Coturnix japonica: one gene and its partner. The protein of the gene in region 2 purifies or fractionates together with the protein of the main gene of each other region. This does not show direct contact. Links are inferred from orthologs where the notes say so. Each region holds a gene or a part of one and is shown on either strand. Other genes may lie near its edges.

Evidence for each region.
Region 1: the proteins of UBLCP1 (region 2) and PSMC1 purify together in Homo sapiens (affinity purification with mass spectrometry; 3 studies listed by BioGRID and IntAct, with this or other methods). This does not show direct contact. The link is inferred for Coturnix japonica from reciprocal best matches to the Homo sapiens genes UBLCP1 and PSMC1.

Annotation. Positions count from the first base shown.
Region 1 is NC_029520.1:39,735,554-39,740,160, reverse strand, and holds the start of PSMC1 (26S proteasome regulatory subunit 4), read right to left. Parts: upstream 2,889-4,607; 5' UTR 2,804-2,888; coding exon 2,801-2,803; intron 2,556-2,800; coding exon 2,502-2,555; intron 2,390-2,501; coding exon 2,293-2,389; intron 2,139-2,292; coding exon 2,014-2,138; intron 1,554-2,013; coding exon 1,368-1,553; intron 1,165-1,367; coding exon 1,036-1,164; intron 378-1,035; coding exon 281-377; intron 137-280; coding exon 1-136.
Region 2 is NC_029528.1:12,396,222-12,400,586, forward strand, and holds the start of UBLCP1 (ubiquitin-like domain-containing CTD phosphatase 1), read right to left. Parts: upstream 2,817-4,365; 5' UTR 2,743-2,816; exon of another isoform or gene 2,550-2,742; intron 349-2,549; exon of another isoform or gene 346-348; 5' UTR 309-345; coding exon 155-308; intron 1-154. UniProt on the Homo sapiens protein: Dephosphorylates 26S nuclear proteasomes, thereby decreasing their proteolytic activity. Recruited to the 19S regulatory particle of the 26S proteasome through its interaction with 19S component PSMD2/RPN1.

The DNA of each region.
Region 1 (4,607 bases), on a different chromosome or scaffold from region 2:
TCTTCAGCCACGCGGAACAGCTCACGCACCAGCTTGGGGCCGTCACCCAAGTACTTCTGGATGAGCTCGGAACCAACAACTCTCAGGAAGGTTGCTGACGTTTGGTTTGCTACTGCTTTGGCCAGTAAAGTTTTACCTGTTTTTAATCACAAAAATAATTGTCACTAGTCTGCAGGCTGGAAAAAAAAGCCAGAGATCAGCGACAGACCTGGCAGTGGTTTAACAGTAACCAAGTATGATTTACTTAACTAGAGCTAGCTCAGCACAAAGCCACAGATACCTGTGCCAGGGGGGCCGTACAGAATGACGCCTTTGGGTGGTTTTATACCCATCTCTTCATAGTACTCAGGGTGGGTGAGGGGAAGCTCCACAGACTCCTGCATCAAGAGAAAAACAAGCCAGTGTTTTCATGAGCAGTGAACACTGCAAAATACCTGTGGAGTTCCTAAGGACTGCATTAATATAAGTAAGAAAGGCAAAAAGAAACAAAGTAATTGGAAGACAGGCCTTGAAAAACAGGCATCTTGGATACCTCAAATTGTAAGAACTATTCTACCCTAAAGCAGCTCTTTCTACTGCTTCTTTTCCACGTGACAGATGGAAACAGTGAGTGTTCCCCTTCCTCCATCTCAGGCATCACAACAACTCTCCAAGTTTGCAGACTGGCTCCCAAATGTTTACGGGAGCCCCCCAGAAACTTGGAGGGCCCTTCGTTAAAGGACACTTCCCAGTATGAACTACCAGATACCACAGATGAATGCTTTAAGAACATTTGTGACTCTGAACGCCTATCCAAAGTGAAAGAGCTGAGTGAAAGGTTTCTGGCCACACAGTCTGTGAATGGGGATGCTACTAACTTATAACATTTTTCCAGGTCCAGGTGCCTGCCTAATGAAACTGAACTGAGAACTGCAGGAGCAAGATGCAAAACACCACCATGTGAACAGCAGCTGGCTCTGCTGTTACTCTTCCATACTTCTGTCATAATGGCCAAGTTTAGAGCTCACTTAGCAGTGGAAGTCAGCACACGATTACCTTGATTTCCTGAATCTGGTTGTCAAGGCCACCAATGTCAGCATACGTCTCTTGAGGAGCTTTCTCAACTTTCATCACGGTCACTAAAGGATCTGTGTCATCCATCAGGACTCCAATCACAGCGTGAACCTAATTCAAGCATGAAGAGTTGTCAGAAAGCAAGTAGCACGATTAACACCAGAACGAGCCTCAACCCAATGCCCACATGTTGAAGTGTACGGAATAAACAGCATTAATCTGAGATCGTGTGATCATGTGACTCTTGGAACAGATGCCAGTTAAAAATAGCAGACCTCGTGCTGCTTCTTTTCATCTCACTTCACGTGACTCACCTTATGGTTTAGCAGAACAGAGCAGCCCGGCTCTAGCAAATCCTTGTCCACAAAAGACAGAATACTGACGTAGTGTTCTGATCCCACCGACGTGGACACGATGGCATGGTTGTCATCAATGATCTCCTCCAAGGTACCCACTGACATTGGTGTCCCCCTCAGATCGTCCACCTTTGATCTTTCCTCCTGTTGTCAAGAAGAATTCAAGTAACAACTCAGGAGCACAGGTAGGAACATCACTGCTGGGTTGGTCCTGAGTCTGCGTGTTAACTTCAGATCAGGTGCTGCACAGTCAAACACTGGCAGCACATTCTAAAGAACCACAGGCCAGTAACAAAACCGACTGTTTTAGTTCTATGGACATTACTACATGGTTAGGCACAAGAAGAATATTCTTCCTTCCTCTACTGAACTTGCTAAGACTTCTAAGAAGCCAAAAATTGCTGCTGCCACATCTGTGATAACCTCTGTTTGAACTAAAGGCATTAGAATGCTTGAAGAAAATCCTGCTTTCTGAAAACCAACTGATGTTTAGTGTAAAATTTTAATGCAATAAGTTCACTTACACAGTCGTGATGCTGCCTTTGTGTGAAGCAGTTTACACGCCAGCAGTCATTTTAGTACTAGCAGCTCACTCAAAACTCACCTCCTGTTTCTCTTCCAAAGGTTTCATTTGTTCTTGATTTCTGATAAATTCCTCCTCCATTAGCAGGTAATCTTTAATCCTCTCTAACTTCAGCAGTTTGAGTCTGCACTGTGTGTGAGGAGTCACTGCAATCAAAGCAGAACCACAGCGTTTCAGACTAAGTATGACACGCCATCAACTATTCATTAGTTCATTGGGAGAATTCCTGCTTTAGGTTTGGGCTCCACCTGCAGCCAGGTGGGCCAGGGCTGTGCAGGGCCCAGCAGGCCGAGCACTTACCCAGGGGCAGTTTGCTGGCAGCATCTGGTCCCTTCGTCTTCTTCTTCTTCTTCCCCACTCTGGTTGGAACTGGAGGTTCATATTTCTTCTTCTTGTCCTGATGTGCAGAGAGAATTCCAAGGGAAAAAATTAATTAAAAAGTCAGGATATGAGCAATGAAAACAAAACACCAGGCCGGCCCGGCCCGGCCCGCCGCTCTATGTCCGCACCTTGTCGTCCTTCTTGCCGCCGCCGGGCCCGTGTCCGCCGCTCTGACTTTGCCCCTAAATGGGAACAAACACAACGGCCCGTTAATCACAGCCCCGCACACTCCGCGGCCGCTCCCCACATCCCTCGGGCGGTGACTCGGCAAAACGCGTGTCGGTAGCGGCGGCTCCGGATCGTCCCCCGGGCACCGCCGAGCGCTCACACCCGTCCCCACACGCTCCCCCCCTTCCCACCGCCGCGGCGGCCGCCCCCCGCCCGCACAGCCCGCACAGCCCCCAGCCCCGCCGGCCCCGCCGCTCACCATCACCGCAACGCACCGGAACCGCCGCGACGATGGAACCAGGATGTGGCGTCACTGCGGAGCGACGGCAGCAGCCAGCGGGAGGGAGGGACGGGCGGCACCTGGCGGCCGAGCCGGCACCAACACAGCCGGCCGCAGGGGGTCGCGCCCCGCCGCTGTGTGCCGCCATCCGAACGGAACCGATATGGACCGTCCTGCCAGCGCCGGGCCATCCTGCACCTGACTGTGAATCACCTGTGATTCTGGGGAAGGAATCACCCCAGATCCAGCCCACGGATGGACTGCTGGTTTAGGATGTTCTGAACAAGCTGAATGCTTCGTCATTAACTACAGCCACATTCACATACACTGAGCTCGTTCCAAAGCTGCTCTGCAGGATGCAGTGAGCCATGAACTGAAGACACAGTGAAATAATTCCCACAGAAAGAGGAATACAACAAACAACCTTATACAGAAAACAACCCTGTCCCCTTATTTCCCAGTAGTATTTCTAAAGGAACATATGGGTGCTTTCTAAAAACTGCAGTGACTACTTAGAGTGTGGGTAAGGGATTCTTGGACAGCACAGGCTGCCTGGCAAAGCTGTGCACATAATGACTGACAGCTCAGGGAAGCAGAAAGAGGGGAGAGTAGAGAGAGCTGCTGTTGGTGTAGGAGAATGGGAAGTCACTGAGACATGAGCTTCACCATGCTGAATTAAGAAGAAGATATGTTAATTTTAAAGGCTCCTCAGTGAAGTCCTGGCTCTGTATTAATCTGTTGGCTGTGGGCTGTAGTGTAATCCCCCCTCTGTCGTTTCCTGCAGCCCCGTGATCTAATGCTGCACAAGCATCTCGCTGTGTTCGCATCCTCTATTGAATAACTGCAGCTTCAGTTTTGTGATGCACACTCTGCTCCATCAGCCCGTCATTGCAGCGCTATCAGGAGGTAGGGCTCATACAGCTTCTAACTGTGTTTTCTGTCAGTAATGCAAATTGAATCTGCTGAATTAGTCAGATCAGTCATCCTCACTTGCGAACAAAAGTCCCACCCATGATTTCTTCCGGCTGCTTGTTGGGGTTCTGCTTTGCTCACTTGTACAAAGGATGCACTTTCTAAGAGAACTTCAGAAACAAGAGCCAAAGCCCCAGTATGGGGCACCAGCACTTACTGCAGGGGCTGCACAGAACTCTTCTATCAGAAAAACCAAACAACTGGAGAAGTTCTGTAGCTCCACCAGTGCTCTTGTGTTCTTTGTATCTGTTGCAGTTTCCATGCAATAGGAGGCACTACTTTCAGAGCAACCTACGTCTATGAGATGTGTGTTGGGATCACGGCACAGCTGCGGCTGCGGGCACCCTGCAGAAGTGTTGCTGTTAATTAAATGTGAAAAGGGNCAGAGCAACCTACGTCTATGAGATGTGTGTTGGGATCACGGCACAGCTGCGGCTGCGGGCACCCTGCAGAAGTGTTGCTGTTAATTAAATGTGAACAGCGGTTGTAGCAATGTCAACATATTCTACTGTCAGATCTCAAAGTCACGTCAGCTCACAGCAAACCGAACCTCCCCAGCCTGAGAGCAAAAGAAGCAGATGCCCGCTCAGAGGAACAACATTCCTCTGTGAAACACAAAGAATAGAGTGGTATGTTATATATTTGTTATACCTAGAGTGGTATGTTAAACTCCGAGTGCTGTCTGCAGGCAGTATTACACAGGACAGTAGCTATCATCGGATCTGATTGAATAAGAATTTGACAAATTAATGTTTTCTTATCGCCGATTCTATTTTTCTTATCAATATCTGTCTTTGTCAGTGCGTGCCCTTCA
Region 2 (4,365 bases):
AATGAACTACATAGTGATGTATCAGATCCCTCTGTGTGCGCTCATTCAAAAGCAAGATCTAGGAGGTAGATGCTCTGTTAATACACACATCTTAACTAAGCTAAGAGGATGCTCTTCCTTAAATATCTCACAAATAATAAATACAAATAATTACCCTTCATCTTAAGTCCAAGTAATTTTTGGCGCTCTGGTAACACTCCAGTAAGGCCTTTAAGAGATTGCTTCAGATCCAACACAGTGTCCTCTTCTGATAGCGAGGTTATCGTATACTCCTGTCCTCCCCATTTTATTATGAGAGAGAGAGACATCCTTGAAGCATATGTTCAGTGTTATTTCCTGAAAAATCTGCTGGAGGAGAAAAATGCAATGATCATGTAAGCAAGAAATAGGAGTAGTTATTTCTTTTTTCAGAAGACAAACATTATAGTCTGTTTTTACATTTTTGTGATGTTGTACATCAGTGAGCTGCTTGTTTTGCATGCACAGGTGATAAATGTTAATACAATAGTGAAACTAAGGGAGAAAGAACAGCACTACAGCTGTGGCTTTGAGTTCCACTTTGATGTACTTAGCAGTGTCACACTCACTGTCTGCTGTAGCACATGCTCGCTTGCTGTGTGTTCAGTGCAGGTACAGCTTTTTGCAGCACAGCCAGCATTCAAGCAGAGCACTGCAGCATCAGAGAAGTCATTTCAATGTCCTCTGCAATAATTTCACAATCAAACCACTCATAACATACGTGGCTATTAAACAGAAAGTAAGCAAGTCCTAAAATACACAAAAAAAACCCAACCAAAACAGTTCTGAACCAACAGTTCAAGTGGATCGAACACTTTCCCTACTCACTTTCACTGAGATCTGTGCAGTAGCTGCAGTAATACACCTCAGGTCACGTCTCACTGTAGCAATATCAAAGCAGTTTGAAAACAAAGCCAAAATACACACCTACACGGTACAATTACACTGTAAGAACTGCACTTTCATTGCAGTGCTGACAAAATAATCGTAATTACTACCTTTAATTTACGCCAGATCATTTATGTGAATTATATTCAACGGTTTATTCCCACACTAAAGACAGAAGCAAGATTTCTAGCTTTCTGGGAAAGGAAAGACATGTTTTCTTCCGCCAAAGTTTGGAAGCAGAGAATCAAGGAATGGGTATGAAAAGGCCATTTCAAACTGTCAGAGAACCAGAGAAGGCCTCTGCACAACTAATGGTGAGAACGCACTTAAAAGATTGATGACCAAAAAGTAAAGGGAGAAGAGCCATAGAAACAAAGTAAAACCAAACCTGAGGGTGTCCACCTTCAACTGTACCAGGCATTGCACTGTACCAGGCAATCCAGGTCTGGCAATTCCAATAAAAGCCAGAACTCAAAAGTCTGACTCCTCATCCTCTCCAGCATCGCTCTCAGCAGTTACCTGCTCTCATCCAAAGTAATTCCTGCCTATACAATATCCTTTGTTAAGAACAATTGAATAATTATTCAGACATACCCACCAAGCTCAAATCAGATAAGAAATGGAGGATCAGATACAACCTGCCTGCTGTGCACAATAAAAAACATTCTTCCTCACTATCTCCTCTAAGATCCCTGAAAACAAACTGAATACATTTTAGAACAATCAATTTTTATTATATTTTAAAATATCTCCAAATATCCCCAAATTGGACGGGGAATAGTATTATCCTGTGAATTAGTATTATTCTGTGAAAGATGGCCTTAGAAGTATTAAGAGAATCAACTGAGGTTAAGGCTGCATATCAGCAGTGTTAGCTCATCACAAATAACCTCTGCCCATAAACCTCAGACCAAGATTTCTATGCTTAGAAAGACGAGTTTGTGGCCTGCTTTCTCAACTGTACCACATGCCTGAAGTCATTCTGCAAGCAAATGCACTGAGTAAAAGCAGTAAGGAAACTTCTCAGGCCTCAAACTGAAAGGATCCCTATAAAGCAGAGCACTCATCAGCTGCCAGTCCTTGCAGAAGTACAGTTATCTCAGGATGAAGGTTATCAGAAACAACAAACAGAATGACCTTTATTCAGTGCAAAACACTGATGGAACTGGGTGTGGACAATAGAATCAGTGTTTCCAGGCAGGGAGATGGAACTAGATGATCTTTCAGGTCTCTTCCAGCCCAAGCCATTCTGTGACTCAATGAACAGATGAGGACCAAAGAGAAAGTCACAGGGATTTTCAGTTCCTATGGACTGGGTTGTATAGAAGGGATAGTGAAAGATAGTGAAACCAAGTTTGTTCTAGTCATTGTCAGATGGATGACATTGTCAGAGCCCCGAGGGCCACCAAGAGCCTAAAGTTAAAAGGGCACTGGGGCAGATAAAGCGTGGTTCTTGGATCTGGGAGGGAGATACACCTCCATGTTTCTGGGTATTCCACCCCGCAACGTAAAACGTGAGCACGACAAACCCAACCCGCGGGATGAGCAGCGGCACGGAACGGGGACGGAGCGCTCAGAACGGCCGTGGATCCCCGGCTGAGGCCGGTCCCGGCGGTGACACGGGGAGCGCAGAGGCCTCGCGGCTGCAGGCCCCGCTGTGCCGCGGACGTTGCGGGGCCAGGAGAGACGCGCTCACCCCTCGCACCCCCAGCACGGCAATGCCCGGTGCTACCGCGCACGGAGCCTTCAGGTCCGGCCCCTCACGGCGATAGAGGCCGCAGAGCCGTTATACAGAAGCCCCAGCCCCACCCGCGGCAGCGCGATGCGGCCCCTCACCCTGGCAACGGAACCGGCACCGACCCGCGATCCGCCGCACCGGTAGCGGAAGTGGAGCGCGCCGGAAGCGGAGGGATGGCGGATGTGAGCTGGTTCCGGTTCGGTGGAGCGGGGTGTTTTAGATCGTGTTGGCTGCGGACTGTCGGTGTAGGCCCAACCGGGACCCTGCATCCAGGCGGGCCGGGCCGGTACCAGCCGTAGTTCCGTAGTGGTCTGTGTGTGCCAGGAGACGCTGAGATGTGTCAGAGTCAGAGTTATCACTGCTGCTGCAGAGTTATTTTCCTGCTCTGCTCTGATAGGAATTCATTATTTGATTTAATTTTATTTTTGAGGTAAAATCCACGGGTGGCACCGAGCGAGTGGGCTGGCACGGCCCACAGCCACCAGTTCGCTGCCATCAGCTGCTCTCTTTCATTAATAACCTTCACAGGAGGTTTATTGATGCCCTGAAGTCCTTTGTAGCTTCTAAGCTACATGGCAGAGTATGGTTTTGTATCCCTTGAATCAGTGGTGCCGTGTTGGGGGCTGCTGGGATGCTCAGCTGTAGTTGCTTTGTGACATTGATAACGAGTGTAGAAGGAAAACTTAGTTTGTGCAAAGATGAGCTTTTGCATTTAGATGTTCTGCTCCTTAGAAATCGTTTAAAGGAAAGAAAACTATCAGTGCTGAAGTGTGATGTAAAACCAGGTGGGAAGGATATTGACTGCAGCTGTGGTCAGAATTAAATCTGCAGGGGAGGAATAGTGGATGTGTCGGTCCTTTAGTCTTAGTTCTTGCTCAGTAATGACCTTCTCCTTTTTTGTTCAGTGATAGGAAATGGAAGAAGAAAGGAGAGCTGAGCACAGCGCTGCAAGAACTGTCCCTCACATTGTGTTGCAGACCTGAGCAAGGTGCAATATAAGAAAAAGCTGCACAGAAGGCTGGTTTTCCACAGTCTTTTTTTCTTCTGACCGGGAATTAATTTTATGCGTTTCCTGCTTGGATACAGATTTTAAGTTTTGTTCTATATTCAGATTTGAGCATAAAAAGTGCTCTGGTTTCCAGAAAAGCGATGCAAATGGGAGGTTACTTCACTGACTGTTCGTGTCAGGTGTAGCTTCTGACTGCACTCAAATCCCTGTTGAACCAGTTAGTGTGTATATATTCTAGTCATGAAGGGCTTTTCATGCTAGTTCCCCTCTACAACTATCGTGCTCTGAGGCAGCATGGTACAGTAGTGCTGGAAAGCTTCCAAAGTTACAAGTAGTAATTAAAGTCACACCCTGTCATAAAACTATGCACCCTGGAGGCCTTTTTAAACAAACTCAGGCTACAGAAATGAGACTATAATGTGACCAGCTCTTTACTTACAATCTTTTTGATACATTCTAATAACTTCCTAATTGGCCTTGATAAAACTCTCTTGTGGAGAAGAGGCATTAATTGTTTTCCTGTTTGGTTTTGGTTTGAAAAAACTATTCAATGTTTCTAAATGATATTTCATTTTGGGTATGATGATGGTGTTTTAGTGTCCTGAGCCATGACTAGGACTACTTTGTGCTCAACACTGCTGAAAAATGCTCTGATTCTGGTGTTCATGTGGCACAGAAAAATATGTCCTTAAACTCAGCTGTAAGAACACAC